Linked DNA regions of Nothobranchius furzeri. The protein of the gene in region 2 interacts with the protein of the main gene of each other region in a biochemical or structural test. Links are inferred from orthologs where the notes say so. Each region holds a gene or a part of one and is shown on either strand. Other genes may lie near its edges.

Evidence for each region. The genes of interacting proteins can lie anywhere in the genome.
Region 1: the proteins of eif2s2 (region 2) and eif2s1b form a complex in vitro, tested with the Homo sapiens proteins (2 studies listed by BioGRID and IntAct). The link is inferred for Nothobranchius furzeri from reciprocal best matches to the Homo sapiens genes EIF2S2 and EIF2S1.

The regions. Positions count from the first base shown.
Region 1 is NC_091742.1:8,438,224-8,446,128, reverse strand, and holds the start of eif2s1b (eukaryotic translation initiation factor 2 subunit 1b), read left to right. Parts: upstream 1-3,248; 5' UTR 3,249-3,413; intron 3,414-4,650; 5' UTR 4,651-4,652; coding exon 4,653-4,893; intron 4,894-7,905. Other genes in the region: atp6v1d (V-type proton ATPase subunit D), read right to left, coding at 641-785, 1,301-1,379, 1,449-1,515, 1,621-1,724, 1,824-1,868, 1,955-2,022, 2,101-2,180, 2,337-2,454 and 1 more. UniProt on the Homo sapiens protein: Member of the eIF2 complex that functions in the early steps of protein synthesis by forming a ternary complex with GTP and initiator tRNA. This complex binds to a 40S ribosomal subunit, followed by mRNA binding to form a 43S pre-initiation complex (43S PIC).
Region 2 is NC_091755.1:32,893,991-32,901,777, forward strand, and holds eif2s2 (eukaryotic translation initiation factor 2 subunit 2), read left to right. Parts: upstream 1-2,752; 5' UTR 2,753-2,895; coding exon 2,896-2,910; intron 2,911-3,626; coding exon 3,627-3,810; intron 3,811-3,903; coding exon 3,904-4,004; intron 4,005-4,132; coding exon 4,133-4,262; intron 4,263-4,345; coding exon 4,346-4,446; intron 4,447-4,582; coding exon 4,583-4,731; intron 4,732-4,809; coding exon 4,810-4,866; intron 4,867-4,959; coding exon 4,960-5,045; intron 5,046-5,222; coding exon 5,223-5,398; 3' UTR 5,399-6,385; downstream 6,386-7,787. Other genes in the region: charged multivesicular body protein 4b, read left to right, coding at 683-809, 892-953; srsf6a (serine and arginine rich splicing factor 6a), read left to right, coding at 6,954-7,060, 7,456-7,622.

The DNA.
Region 1 (7,905 bases), on a different chromosome or scaffold from region 2:
ACTATGTTCTAATGCTGCACAATACAGCTGAGGTCGTTTTATACGCACTAGAGTCTAAAAGCCACTAATTCCTGCACTTTCCAAGGAAGTCTCTGCTAAAGTGTTAATAAAAACAGAATGTGACCAAGCTGATTCATACCGTTCCTGGTAGTTGTGTGAAGTCTTAAAGCCGAAACAAAGGCGTGATGTTCTATGAAGCAGGATGAGCTTACAGAGTAAACGTGGCTCATTTGTGTTCAAACCAAAAGCATAAAAAAAAGAGCGTTTGCTTTATATTTAGAGCATCTTTATTTTGTTGACAATATTTTACAGGGTCAGAGATTTACCCTTCACAGGTTTCCACAACACAGACTTCAGCTTTACAGCATGCGATGCTCCAAACGACGTCTACAGGTGAGCCGTTCACACAGAGGGCTTCTTTCATTTTACTCACAAACAACACGTTTATTATTCATAATTACTTTTTTTTTTCTTAAGACTTGTCTGTACAGCGACACGAGAAGACGTTCAGACTTTTCCAGCACAGAAACACAATCACAGATCTGGAGGGGAAAAATAACTTTATAGGGAGGTGTGAACGTGGCCGGAGGCACGGAATAAATAAGACGTTGAGTGTTGAACCACGGGGGGAGGGAGGGGTTCACTCAAACAGCAGGTCCTCGTCCGTCTCCTCCGTCAGCATGTTAGCCGGCTCAGCGATGGGACCGAGTGCAGCCAGCCGGGCGGCGATCTCCCGTTCTGTCCTTTCCCTGAGCTGCTTCTTTTTCTCCTGGATTTTCTTCAGCCTGGCACAGCGGAAAATAACAGGTACTGTAAATGTGAAGCTTCAGAATGGCCAAACTAAAGAGTAAGTCACCCCCCTACCAGAGCCTTACTCCACCCACACTTCTGGTTTCAAAAATGCACCAAAAGGAGGCGTTGCCTGATGGGGTGAGAGGGCGGGACTGCAGCCTGAACTGACTGGTTTTTTGGAGGAGGTGAGCAGCCCTGAGGCATCGGCTTGTGAGTTGCCAAGGCAACCGGTGCAGAGCCTGCTGGCGGCATAGCTTACCCAGAAATTCGGCTGGTATTAGACCCCACAGTGGTACCCTTTAACCAATAGCGATGGCTAACTAATTCAAATGGAATGCAGACTATTAACCTGAAGAGGGCGCTACACCAACAGTTTTAGGTTGAATATTTAAATAAGATGCACCAAAAACCAAAAATAATGATTACACATGACTCTTACAGTAGTTGACTTCCTAACCCATCAGATCCTTTTACTAATGGTTAAGGAATCCGATGCAGCTGCTCTCACCTGTAGAACTCCTCACGCTCCCTCTCATCCAGCTCTGTGATGATGTAGGTGAGAGTGCGATCAATCCTGGGAATAATCACTGCAACGGAGAGTAAAGATGGTTAAAAACACAAGCATCTGTAGATCTTTGAACAACTCGTTTGTTTACCGTGCTCAATGGCATTCACGCGGCGGTTAGTGATCTTAATGGCTTCGTCCAAGGTGACAAATGATGTCTGTTAAAAAAATATTAATTTTTATTCAAAATTAAATATATATATATATATATAGATATTTTGCAAATATGGCAGAAAAATACGCCTTAAAAGCCATAACAGCACCTGTAAGGAGGCCAACTCCACAAGCAGCTCAACAGCTCTAGCATAATTCCTCTTCAGCCGGGAGAGCTGTTCACCTCCTCGGGCTAGACCGGTGAGTTCATAACCTGACACACACACACACACAAACATGCTGAGCTTTCTGAGGTTCACAGACACTAATCCAAATATGATGCATGTCTGAAAAGTACAATTACACTACTTACTGTCTCCACCTTCTTGGTAGTGTTCAAACACTGGAAGGGTGACACCTGAAAAGACAAATTCAGCATGAATAGTTGTTTCCCATCAATTACAGTGATGATGATGATGATGATGATGGGAAGATTTTTCTGACCCGCCACATTATCCTTCTTGGCTCGAACCTTGACCTGGGCTTTGTTCACATTCTGGATTACAGTTGTGCTGAAAGAAGATGAAAAGTTGCTGCGCACGTCTAACAGACTCGATAAAACACGGCTGTAACATTGTCATTACTCTTACCTAAAGTCACCAGCTGCAAATTTGGCTTCAGCCAATGAGAAAGCTGCTTCTCTCATCACCTCTCCCATCTTAGTTTTAGTCTAAAAGAACAGAGAATAAAAGAAAATTCCATTATTAGGTGTTTTTCTATTATGTGAGAAATAATGCAAGATTTAAATAGTTGCTCTAGTTATTTTAGTGTCAAATTGGCTGGAGTGAAGAAAGAGAAGCAGCAATCATTAAATGTTCTGACTGACTTCAATAATTTTACGAAGGATCTGACGGAAGCGCATCGAGAGAGCGTCAGATTTCTTCTTGAGCAAACTGCGGCCAGTTTGAGCCCCTTTCAGTCGAGCCTTCATGATGGTCTGGGCCCTGCAAACACACAGATGACATTTATTTATAGATTCAGACCTGATGTGACTACACAACCACCTATTGTACATTTTTTAAAGTATTTGTCTAATTATTTTTCTCTGCATGGTTGGCCATCCTGAAAGACAGATACCCACTTTTCTTTTTTTACACATGAATATCTGAGTGAGTTTTTCCACATAAACAAACAGGTGACGTGCAGTCAGTTTGGCTTTAAAATTAGAACTAGACCTTCCTTGTGGCTTTCATGAAGCAGGTACAGACTCTGTTCACACTCAGATGTTAGAAACATCACATGACACAAAAATAGCGCTTCCTCTTTTAAACAGCAGACTCAAACTATGAATAAAATGTATCCGCAGTGCAGACGCGGTCCAATTAAGGTAAATAAATGCAGAAAATTAATTATCACGGCATCTGGAAAGCTAGAAAAATAATGTGACATTTAATGGGGGGGGGGGGGGGGCTAATTTGTTAGCCAAGAGAAAAGACGATACGATAAGAAAAGACGATACTTACATTCTAGACGGGAATATGTCGATCCTGTCCTTTCCAGACATGTTTTCGTCTTTATGTTGACCGATCTACTTCTACGCTTTAAACTTAAATATTTAACTTTACTTGTAACTATAACGAATCGTTTGAGGTTAATATAATATCTCAAAAAAGCTATAATTCGAGCAGGATTAGGTGAACGTAGCTAGCTAATGGTCGTGATCTTGTCCGTCCGTAATGATCAGCTGACCCCAAGTCATGTGACACAGCCGTGAATTTACACATGCGCAGAGAGGTACTCTCTATTAATTCTTTCCGGGGCAAAAAAAAATTGCACACCCATGAATGTGAGCTAACGGGTCTGAGAATTTCATCTAAAAGCAGCCGAAAGAAAACATAGAGAAGCATTTAAACACGCCCATCATAAAATTCCAACTTTATCATTCTGTAACTCCATGACACAGGTGAGTTTTCGCTGACAGAGAAGATATTTGAAGCGACGAAGAGACTGCTAGCTAAACGTGTAGCATTGGCAGCCGCATGTGATTTGGAAACCTTAGCCAGGAAGCTAACACCTTAAAATGTCTTTTTCTGCTTGTAATGAAACCGTATGTTATCTCTTAGCGTTTTATTCATTATCTATGTGCTATAATGTGCCTTACTACTAGTACTAATGTGCTGTAATATTTTATTGTCTGTTTTTAATTCCATATGTTCAAGCCAGTTTTTTGCTCTTAAAAAAAGTTGTGGACGTTGCATCATCCCATTCATTCCTAGACTAAAATTTTGAGGGGGGAAAAGCCTAAAACTACGAATCTTTTGAAGAACTGTTCTGAATTTTATTTATTTCAAACGGGTCAAATATTAATGCTGAAATGTGAATACTTGAAATGCTTGTTCTATGCAATAATCCCAACATTTTGCTTTCTGCACAGGGTTTTCTGCTAATGAGGGTGCTGATTGTATCAAGAGCCGTGCATTATTTATTCTTGATGACTTGTGCAAATATCAGTATTACATATTAAGTCTTTTTCTGTTTCTCTGAAGCCGCAGATTGTTAAGTTCAGATAAGGTGCTGTTGGCTGTTAACACCTTATTCTTCCTAATAACCCCCTCAAAGGGTTATTAACAAGTCTCCTGTAGAAGTGAATTGTGCTTATTAATATTGGAATGTTTTACTGGTGACATAATATTTCACACACTGTCAACAGATTAATACCAATAGAATAAAATCATCAAACATTCTCCATTAAACAAAGAACAACATAGAAAGGTCCATTGCAATTGAGGGAAATAATTTTGTTACAGATTAGTGGTGATAAAAAGTCAAATGTTCTTTGAAAGCTGAATCTCCAGTTTGGATTAAAGTGAATAAACCAGTAGCATCAATATGTGTTGGCGTTTAAATGAAAGTAAACTTGATCTCTTCAAACTGCTGCAAGTAAAATGTTGATCTTTGATGAAAGGTTTTTGGAGTAGATTTAGTTTTGTGGCTGCTCTGCCCATCCATGAACTCAAAAAACTTTATTAAAGTCAAATTTACAACAGCACTACAAAATATTACATATTTACATATTTTTCTGCTTTCACTCTTGAGAGGCTAGCGTTTTATGTATTATCAGAGTGACATCCAAATAGTTTGTTTAATGCTTATTTTTCAAACTAAATATGTACCCCCTTATTCTGTTCACATCTTCACAGCAATGCCGGGGCTTAGTTGTCGGTTCTATCAGCATCGCTTCCCTGAGGTGGAGGATGTGGTGATGGTGAACGTGAGGTCCATCGCTGAGATGGGAGCCTATGTCAGCCTTCTGGAGTACAACAACATCGAGGGCATGATCCTCCTGAGTGAGCTGTCCCGCAGACGTATTCGCTCCATCAACAAGCTCATCCGCATCGGTCGCAACGAATGTGTCGTCGTCATTCGAGTTGACAAAGAGAAAGGTGAGAGCTGCAACTTGAAACGTAACATTAACAGATAAAATTATCCATAAGATATTCTTGTTTTAAACACACTATAGAAGGGGTTTTCAATTATTTTCTGTCATATAAAATTATTTTATTTTTTTGCATAAGGGCTGCAGCTATCAAATATTTTCGTATTCGAGTATTCTATCGAATCATCCATCGATTAATGGAGTATTCTATTTGACGGCGTTTCAAGTGAAACGAGATTGTGGTCTGCTGCCAAAATAAAAACGCAAAATTATAAGAGGCTCAACAAAATATATTAAATTGGTGTTCCCTATTTCCCAGCTGATTTTTATAGTTAAATATTTTATGGAACAATTTTTTTTAGGTTTCTATTAATATCAGTAAAATATTCACAGTAGAATTATTCATTTCATTTACATGTTCAGTAGTAAGTTACTGGAAATGCTAATAACATTTCATTTGTACTTGTGGCGTGTGTCTCTTTATATATATATATTATTATTATTTATTTATTTTTTACAGGTTGGCAACGTAATCTAGTCTACATTGTGTTCAAATATGTAAGCGTTTGTGAATTACATGCTACAACGGCTTGCCATTGCGCTGCTGCGGTGTATGGAGCAGACTCGTAGCAACAACCAGACTCCAGGGAGCTGCAGCAGTTCTGCACCACACCGCTGTAGACATCCACACATAAACAGGATGGTGGAGGTTTTTCTTCCACTTGTGGAGTTTAGTCGCTCACAACCATCATGTTTTTTTCTGGACCACACTTGCTCATGAGAATGCTACCCGCTAGCTTAGCATTAGCAATTCTGCTCGTAGTTTATTCTTGACCCCAAACTTAGGACTGTTTCTGCCTTTTACAATGGTTTGTCTTTGCTGGTTTCTCTATTTTTCCTCCACAGCACCTAGATCACCACGTAGTGCACCAGTAAAATGTGTTCAGACCAGGGACATGCAGAGACCTTTGAAGGGGTGGGTGCTCAAATTCAAAAAGGGGGCACATAATAGGGATGCAACGATACCACTTTTTTCCAAACCGATACAATACCGATACTTGGATCAGAGTACTCGCCGATACCGATTACCAATACCGATACTTCTACCACACAAAAAAATGCAATGATTTGGAATACAGATTTTACTTTCTTCTCTGCTTTCAACAGGAAAAGACTGAGGTAGGTAAAAAGTAAAATATATGAATGGAAATATCACAAAACTAAAATATTAGGTGAACAGAAATGACAAGTTACAGTGAAGCCATTTTCAAGCAACTGCATTGGTATCTGTTAACTTTTACCGATACTGGTATTGGTATCTGTATCGATGCCGATACCGATACCAGTATTGTATCGGTGCTAGGGTTGTCACGATACTAAAATTTCAAACTCGATTCGATACTTGAAAATATTCGGTGCTCGATTTCGATACTATTTAAAAACACCAATTTATTGAACAAGTTTATTCAAAAAATAACATTCCTCAATTTATATTGCAAAAATTAAATGTTAAGAATTAAGTGTGTAAAGTGCTTAAACCTTTCAAGTATCAGCATTTTTTAAAACGTGCATACAAAAACTGGCGAAAGTTACTTTAAATCATGAATTGCCTCACTATATATACACTATTTGCAGAGTGATGTTTTGCTGCTTAAACTCTGTTTAAGGTGCATTTTTGTCATAAGATGTAATGCCATATGTTTTGTTCTGTACTTTTGAACAACTCTGTTGGTCAATAAAGGGAGAAAATGAATTTCTCCACAGTAGGACAGAGGTACATCTACCGGTAATCTTAATTAAAAACAGATTGGCGCACGGCAGAGACGTCATTAAAAGCGCCGGTTAATTAGCCGCGGCTAGTCTGTTTACGCCTAGAAATCCCAGACCCGCTCCAAACGAACAGGGGAATCATGTCAATGATTCCTAACAAAACCTTTCGACATTGAGATGTTTTGGTGCAGATAATGTCTTATTTCAAGGCTGCACCATAGGTGCCCGTCCGCACCCGTTATATGGATATATGCTGACGGCGATTCGCCGATGGATCTAAATACCCCGGGGAATCCAAGTAGCACCAAAGTTGTCAGCGTGAGTAAACAAACGTACTGCATGCTAGAAATTAAGTCCGGGTTGCAATAAACGGGAGTTTCCTTTAAGCACATAAGCGTGAATATACAACTATGTGTCGGACTTGGTATGCTAATTACGTTGGGCTGTGAAGCGCCTCCCAAATTCGCTGTTTATGTTTTTGTTTATTTATTTGGCAGACAAAACTTGGATCGGAGACAACTCACGTGGGAAATTACAATGTAGCCATGTGGCGTCTTCTTCTTCTGTTTGTCTGGGAGGCGGAGGCTGCTTTACGGCGTCTGGCTGTCGTGCGTGTCGGTTAGGGCTGCAACAACGAATCGATAAATTCGATGAAAATCGATTACTAAAAGCGTTGGCAACGAATTGCGTCATCGATTCGTTGTGTTGCGCAACTCTTCCAAAAGCCCCCTCCCGCCCGCCGTTGCGCGCAGACCGGTGGAGAGCCAGCAGGTGTTTGTAAGAGGAACATGGCAGAAGCAGCGAGACCCCCAAAAAGTAAAAACTTCTAAAGTTTGGGAGCATTTTCAGTTAAATCAGGCGAAGACATGCAACGTTTGTAGGTCAGACTTAGCATGGCATGGGGATACTACGGTGATGATGCAGCGTCTTAAACGCAAGCATGTCAGAATCATCAGCGAGGAAGGAGAGAGCTCGGTGTCCGGGTAAGTTAAAAACTTTTCAAAAGTGATTCACCCAAGCTCCGGATTATTACACAGGCTAGACATGCCCTAAGCTCGTAAAAAAAAGTATTTAAAATTGTAAGCGCGACGCTATTAGATATGCGGGGGGGGGGGGGGGGGGGGGGGACGACTCGCGCCGCTGCGAACCGGTTCCGCCGTCACATTCCCGCAGAAACTGGTTGATCACACCGGGGCCAGACTACTAACTTGTGGCTTTACAACCACAATGTCCTCAGAAGCGAAAACGC
Region 2 (7,787 bases):
ACAGGAGAATTGCAGAACCACACGTGATTTCGACAATTCACGCGATAACAAAATAGAAAGAATAGAAAGCAGCATGCGTCTGAAAAGATTTGGTTTATTTTCTGTTCTGTCTGCCTCGGCTACGGAGGTTTCACAGGTAGTGACGGACTTTAGTACTAGCAACTGGAAATCTAAACTTGACTTTTATTTTGAAAGTGTCCAGCTGTTTTGCACTGCTTTTCTGTGTGACTTCCTGTCTGGCCTGATCTAAACTCAATGGCTTAACCAGAGATGGGAAACTGTGGCATCAACAAGTCATCTCCATATTTTGTTCTGCTCAGCAACAAAACCAGGTGATTTTAGTCAGCACAGTGAATGAACCTGGTTTTGTTGCTGAGCAGAACAAAAACACGACATGGAGATGACTTGTTGATGCCACAGTTTCCCATCTCTGGGCTTGACGCATTTTGGAAGTGTAGTGCGTAAAAAAAATTAAAAAAATTTTAAACGATTCGAAGCGTAACGACCTGTCCGTTCACTTCTGGGACGCGTCCAAAATGCGTCACTTTGCAGCCGATGGAAACACACCCATCGACTTCAGAAACGTTACACGAGGCTTACGCGTCGATGGAAAGTTCCAGTAACTACAACTTTACTGTACTTCTTTGCATCAGTCTGACTTTTAATAATTTTTCCTCAAAAGGATGAGTTGCTGGCAGAGCTAGATGAGCTGGAACAGGAAGAGCTGGACAAGAATCTGCTGGAGATCGGGGGACCAGAGACCGTCCCTCTCCCCAATGTGCCTTCGACTTCACTACCATCCAGACCCGGTGATTTTTGGTTTCTATTTGCATTGCAGCCCTTTCTTTTTTTCACCTCAGAGCTCTTAATGTCTCATCCTCTCTTAAACAGCCAAGAAAGAGGAGGACGAGGATGACATGGAGGACCTGCAGCGTTGGGCTGAAGCCATGTAAACAAACACCGCATCACTCACATCGTACTGACATCAGAGAGGATGAAACGAGGGGAAACGATGAAAATGAACTGTTGATCCTTGAGTGTTTCCGTGTGTTTGAGGAGAGTTGACTTTGTGGAACACTACAAATAAGCCACAATGCTGTACTTTTATTTTTTTTACCCCCCAAAAAACATAGAGACCTGCAAGTTTTCTGTGCAAACGAGAGTCTCTCAAATTCACCTGTTAGAAAACACCTACTTGTGATAATTACTATTACTACCCCTTACTGGTCCTGGAACCAGTCTGGAGCAGGTTGGTGGGAGGGGCGTTCATTTAAGCACAGTTGGTGTTCTGTTAAATTTCTGAACAGGAGAAATTTCTTAGAAGCTAAAGCCTCAAAGATTTGTTTCCAACCCATTTGTTTATGATATTTGATTTGCTAAAAAGTGTTTCATTTCTTTTCTTTTTTCTTTTTGAGAATAATAATAATCTTTGCTTTGTTTAAGTAGCTTTTGGGATTGACACACACAGTGGGTGAGGAAGTTGTGGAGCTGTGTGTTTGCTAGAATTTGAACCTCTCAGTTTTGTTTCTACCTGTTTTACCTCCTGTCGCCATTTTTTGTGACGTCTCCCTCCCTTTGAAAGCTTTCTCACCAGTGGTTCTTGCTATTTGGTGTAAATATCTCAAATGTGTCACCCTTTTGTACGTCATTCTGTAATTCCGCTGTTGCCGGGAGGTTCAGTTGAAAGTGTGAAGCATGCAACCATGGCGAAGTCACAATACAGATCACACTGCACGGCTACGAAGAGAGACATCTGGCCTAATACTTTGATCCTGCTCCGTCTGTTTTTGTCCTCATGAGGTTATTTTTTATTTTTATTCGATATCATTAAAAGAGAAAAGATAAATATATTAAACTATTGTCACACCATATTAATTGCAACAGTAGAAAGATGGTTTATAAAAAAATATAGAATTAAAGTCAACCCAGAATATTTGCATTTTGCATTTAAATCATTTAGGTTTTTGAAATCACAACGTATGTTTTTACATAGTAAAAGAAATGCAAAAGGACAGATGGACAAGCATGTTTGCATTTCTATGTTTTATTTATCCAAATGAGAATATTGTTTGCAGAATCATTAAAAGGTTTTCAATTATTTTTACTGTTTTTGAATGTTTTAAATTTTTCATGTGTGTCTACTTACACAAAAAACCTTTTTTAACCAGTAAAGGTTTCATAAAGTGTCATGACTGTAGTAACTGGACCTTTTCTCTAATTTACACAATTAAAGACGAGTTAGGATTGCATTTATAAATAGGCTCATTTTATTGGGGTATATACTCTAAAATAACTCAAATATTAACTTTTATTCTAGCAGCTTTGGATGCCAGAATTTCTGTTAAAAATATGACAAAATGTCAATTTCAGAGTTGGTCACTTAAAATAGATACTTTATGAAATTATAACAATTAACACTGCAAAGGGATAAGTGTGAGTGTGTGTGGACGAATGATACACTGTAGTGTAAAGCACTATGGAGGCCTCTGACTCTGAAAGACGCAGGTCATTTATCGTAAGCAGACGAAAACCGATAGATGGATGAAATATATTAAGTAGTTCACCTGTTAAGAGTAACGTGAGAAGAAAACGTATACCCATAAAACTCCACTGTCGCATCTGCCTTCAGCTGTGATGAAATAGGAGACAACGTAGAGTTAATAACAAGCTTTTACTTTTTTTAATTCACTGTTTTGTAACAATTATTTGCCGTACAGTGTCGATCTTGAACACTACTCAGGTGTCATGCCGTGTGTCGCAAAGTAAGTGCGTAACGCGACTTCACGCCTGCGCAGTGAGGACCAACGCTGATGCAAGAAATATTTCGGCGCAGAGGTGTGGAGCTAATCGAGTGATTCGAAGTGGTCTGACTTCTGTGATTTTTGGCTGGCAAACATGTCCGGAGACGAGGTAGATTATCCTACATGATCTGTTGTTTTTTCCCTGTTTGTTTTGTTGTTCAAGGGAATTTTCCGACCAGCTCGGTGTTGAGGATGACTTTGGGCCTCGGCACAGCTAGTTCTTTCCTTGTCCGCAGCAGCAGCTCTCACATGGCCGCAGCAGGGCGAACAGCGGCCTGAGTTGTCATATTGACAGGAAAACATTGTCCGTGCTGTGGTTGTCACACTAGTTCACATTTATATTCATCATAGTAACTTCATGGTCACAGATCTAAGAATCAAGCAAAGGCTTAAGTTAGCTAAGTAGCTTCTTGAAACTGAGGCTAACCGTTGATTTATGTTAGCAACTACGAGCTAGCGAGAATTAGCTCAGCAAAAATGTTCTGGTAGACACTTTATTACAGTTAATAAAGAAAGACGTGATGTAAACCATCCATGTAGACATCTCTGATTTGTTTATTCTCAACTAATTATCACAAATAATACACTGCGTTTTACATTAGCTGTGTTAATTTGTCATGTTATGACATGCCATTTTCTCGCTTTAGTCTGTGTGTTGGTTTTGGTCAACCGTGTTTTTAGACCCATTATTTGTTTCTTTACAGAATGGATTAAGGAAGATAAATAAAATATTTAACTCCTGGTTGACATTTTAGAGTATATTTATTTAAAGTGAAATAAAATTTGCACATGTATCATTGAACCCATTTTTCATTTCCCTTTTAGATGATTTTCGATCCCAACATGACCAAGAAGAAGAAAAAGAAAAAGAAGCCCTTCATGCTGGATGAGGAAGGAGGAGAAGGGGTCGCAGGAGAGGAGGCTAAAGAGGTGGAGGCGAAGGAGGCTGAGCCAGAGGTTGGAGACGACAAGGAGCTGGATATAGATGAGGATGAAGGCAGGAAAAAAGGTAAGAATGATGACAGGCGTTTCCCTTTGTTACTCCTCCTACAACACAATTACATCAGTCTGAAGCTTTTTGTGGTTTCTTTGTCTTCTTTAGAACTGTCAGATGATTTGAATGACCTGAACTTCTTCAACCAGAAGAAAAAAAAGAAGAAACCTAAGAAAGTCTTTGATAATGATGTAGAGGAGGGGTTAAAGGTCAGTCAGTGCCACACTTTTTTACTTCTCTACACCTACTGACCCTGGAGTTTATATTTCTCACATTGTCAATACTTTATTATTGTTATTATTATTATTAAATTTCATAATTTTCTGATCCAAACCAGGAGCTTAAAATTGAAGGGGAGCAGACGGAGGCCCCGGAGGAGGACAGTCTGGATTTGATGCTTCCCACCAAAAAGAAGAAGACAAAGAAAGTAGATTTTGATGAGGGCGAGCTTTTGGAGAAAGATGACGGTAAAAACTGAAACTACAGAAATTACTTTAACATAAGGACCAATAGGATATTAGTGTAAAATGGGTTTATTTTCTATTTGTAGCACTGGAGGATGAGGAGAGCAAAAACAATGATGGGATTTCATTCAGCCCCTCCACTGGTCCTGCATGGGCCGGCTCAGAAAGAGACTACACGTATGATGAGGTAGATATTTGTTAATATCTGCCCCTTACACTTATTTATACGGCTCTGTCTTCTTAAAACAACCTTTTCTTGTTGTTGTTCTGTAAATGTTAATGTAAAGCTTGGCTGGTAGATCTCATGTCTGTTTCTGTTTCAGCTTCTAAACAGAGTTTTCAACATCATGAGAGAGAAGAACCCGGACATGGTGGCTGGAGAGAAGAGGAAGTTTGTGATGAAACCACCTCAGGTGGTCCGAGTTGGAACCAAGAAAACCTCCTTTGTCAACTTCACAGACATCTGCAAACTGTGAGTCTCCCTGGCAACCAACCCTTCTGAATGAACTCTACTGGGGCTTTTCTAAGTGTTGTACTTTCACTGATGCAGGTTGCATCGTCAGCCTAAACATCTCCTTGCTTTTCTACTTGCTGAGCTGGGAACAAGGTTTGTTTTTTGTTGTGTGTGTTCACAAGTTTGAGAAATGGTTTTTGTCATTGAAAACAAAAAGAGTTTTTATTTGGTCTTATCTGTTATCAGCGGCTCGATAGATGGAAACAACCAGCTTGTGATCAAGGGCAGATTTCAGCAGAAACAGATAGAAAATGTGTTGAGAAGATATATCAGTAAGTTTGGCTTTTTTCTCGTTTATTATTAAGTTGACTGTAATTTTACACTTGTGTACACACACACTCATATATCATTAGAATGATGCCCCCAAATCGATAACTGAATGACATACGCTTTAGATTTGGACCTTGGTTGTTGTATTGCTACTGATACCAGTCTTCTCGCTCCTGCAGAGGAATACGTAACCTGTCACACCTGCCGCTCTCCAGAGACCATCCTGCAGAAGGACACTCGTCTATATTTCCTGCAGTGTGAGACGTGCCACTCCCGCTGCTCTGTTGCCAGCATCAAGACTGGCTTCCAGGCTGTGACGGGCAAGCGGGCGCAGCTCCGCGCCAAAGCCAACTAAAGGCCATGAAAAGTGGGCTCCCTCTCTCCAAAGCTGGGATCGGTCGCCCCCTCTGATTTAAATAAAAGGACTCTCTGAATCGAACTGCGGGAGGGTTTGGTTGTTTAGTGGTTGCAGCCTTTACAGGCAGGAAGTGAAAGAGGATCTAAGTCTAACTGAAGAGGTACAGATGCTGTAAGCAGATGACGTTCTCCAGATTTACTGTTGGATTGAATGCATTTGGTTGCGTGGCTGACAAACCCTCTGCCTCCCAGGTTTTTTTTTTTTTTTCTATTTTGCTGTGATTTAATCTCTTGAAGAAAACCCCACAGGTTGTCAGGTATTTTAGTTTTTTCATTTTACACATACCAGTCATGAAGACTAAAAACATGTTTCCGTATAGCTAGTCAGATTGCGTCAAGCTAAAAGAGTCCACATGAAGAAAGCTTAAATGCTTTAATTGTATCCATGGCCCCTACTTAATTCTCCAGCTCTTTGTTGCTAAACTAAAAATGATTTTTCTTGTCTAGCACAAACATTACATTTAGTGCTAAAGTTTCACAGACTTGCTTGTGGTTTTACAGTAAAATGTGTTGAGATCAAACCGTTGGGGCTCAAAAGGAGGAGGCCAAGGTTAAAATGGCTGATGTGAGGTGTAAAACAGAAATACAAACTGTTTTTGAGTGCTTTTGTAGTCTTGATTTCATAAAACCAGTGACAATATTTCTATCTTACTGATTTAATTAAAGCCACTTGGGAAAAAATATTTTTTGACATGAAAAGTAAGTTTTCTTTATCTAATGAAAGTGCCCCATCATTAAAAAAAAAATAATAAACTGGGTTGAATCTGTTTCCACCACAGTCTCTCCTGGATTACAAAAATGCAGTTCTATGATGGTTGTCATGTGATATTAGTTCAGCTTTTTTTTCTTTTGAGTATGGTCGCTAAGGTCTGATGAATCAATTTAAAATCTGGTTTTTACCTAAATAAAATATTCTACTTCATTACTTTTTCCCAGTTGTGTCCATGATGTGGTAGATACAGAGTTTTATGTGGAACCCAACCCAACATAATCTTGCTAGTTTATGTAGGTGTGCCAGTGTCTAATTCAAGGGGTCATTGTATTTTGGTTTAGAAGGGTTAAAATTTGAAATTTACTCATTAAAATTCATTATCCAACAATATAAATGCAAACATTGTTCATGTTGAAGCTGATATTAAATTAATTTCAAATTAAACAACCAAGTTTTTCTGTAATTTTAGCATTCATATGGTGGCCAGAAAAGGCACGAAAATTAATATAAATGACTAGGAAAAATAAGTTTATGATTCGACATTTTTCGTTTCTCTTTCTAAAACAATTTAAACTTGTCAAGTGGGGCTTTTATTTTGAAGTTCCATTACTGGTAACGTCATTCCGTTAACTTGACGCTGATTGGTTGGCTAAGTGCCTTAGTGCGCGAGCCGAAGCCTTCTTGAGGGGTGAGCTTGTAAAGTTAGCATCAGAAGCAGAACGCTACATCTTGTGATGACCGTACAATAACGACGTTTTTTTTTGTGGAAAAATATAACAAAATGCCTCGAGTTTATATTGGACGGTTGAGTTACCATGTCCGTGAGAAAGATATCCAGCGATTTTTCAGCGGTTATGGTAAATTAATGGAAATTGATTTGAAAAATGGGTGAGTTTTAAGTGAAATATCGAGTGTGAGGTTTAGCTTGCTAAAACGTTTCAGTAGCCAATGTTGCTCCAAGAGCTTTTAACCATTTATGCAATTTTGTTGTGATTCAGTAGAAAAATTGGTTTCCATATCAAATGTGCTAAAAGTATAGATGGTAATTTCTTGCTAGGTGTATCATGTTTAGGTTATTTTTAAGTTTCAATCCTGCCCGTGTAGCAAATGTCGCATGGCCAACATGGCGTCTTTGTATTTTCGATGATGCTAAGCTAACGTGGGCTTAGTGTGGGGCCGTATTTCTAGGCCTCATTTTTCAGTTGCACATTTTTTACGTTTTCATTGGGTCTTTAAATATATTTCATTATTTGTGTTTTTTACTGTGTTGTTTTATTTTGAAGGTATGGGTTCGTGGAGTTTGAGGACAACCGAGATGCCGACGATGCCGTGTACGAGCTGAACGGGAAGGAGCTGTGCGGAGAGCGGGTGATCGTTGAGCATGCCCGGGGGCCGCGCCGTGACCGAGACAGCTACAGCGGCGGTGGGGGTTACTGGGGTGGTGGACGCAGTAAGTACAATCCGTTATCATGTACCCAGTTTTCTTCATTAAGTACAAAAAACTCTGCCTTTACAGATTTCTAAGTTTTTACGCAGAACTGTGTTTTTTTATGAGGATTGACGTCACAATTCGAGTTAAGTTTAACATATGCAACATCACAAAGTAACACATTTT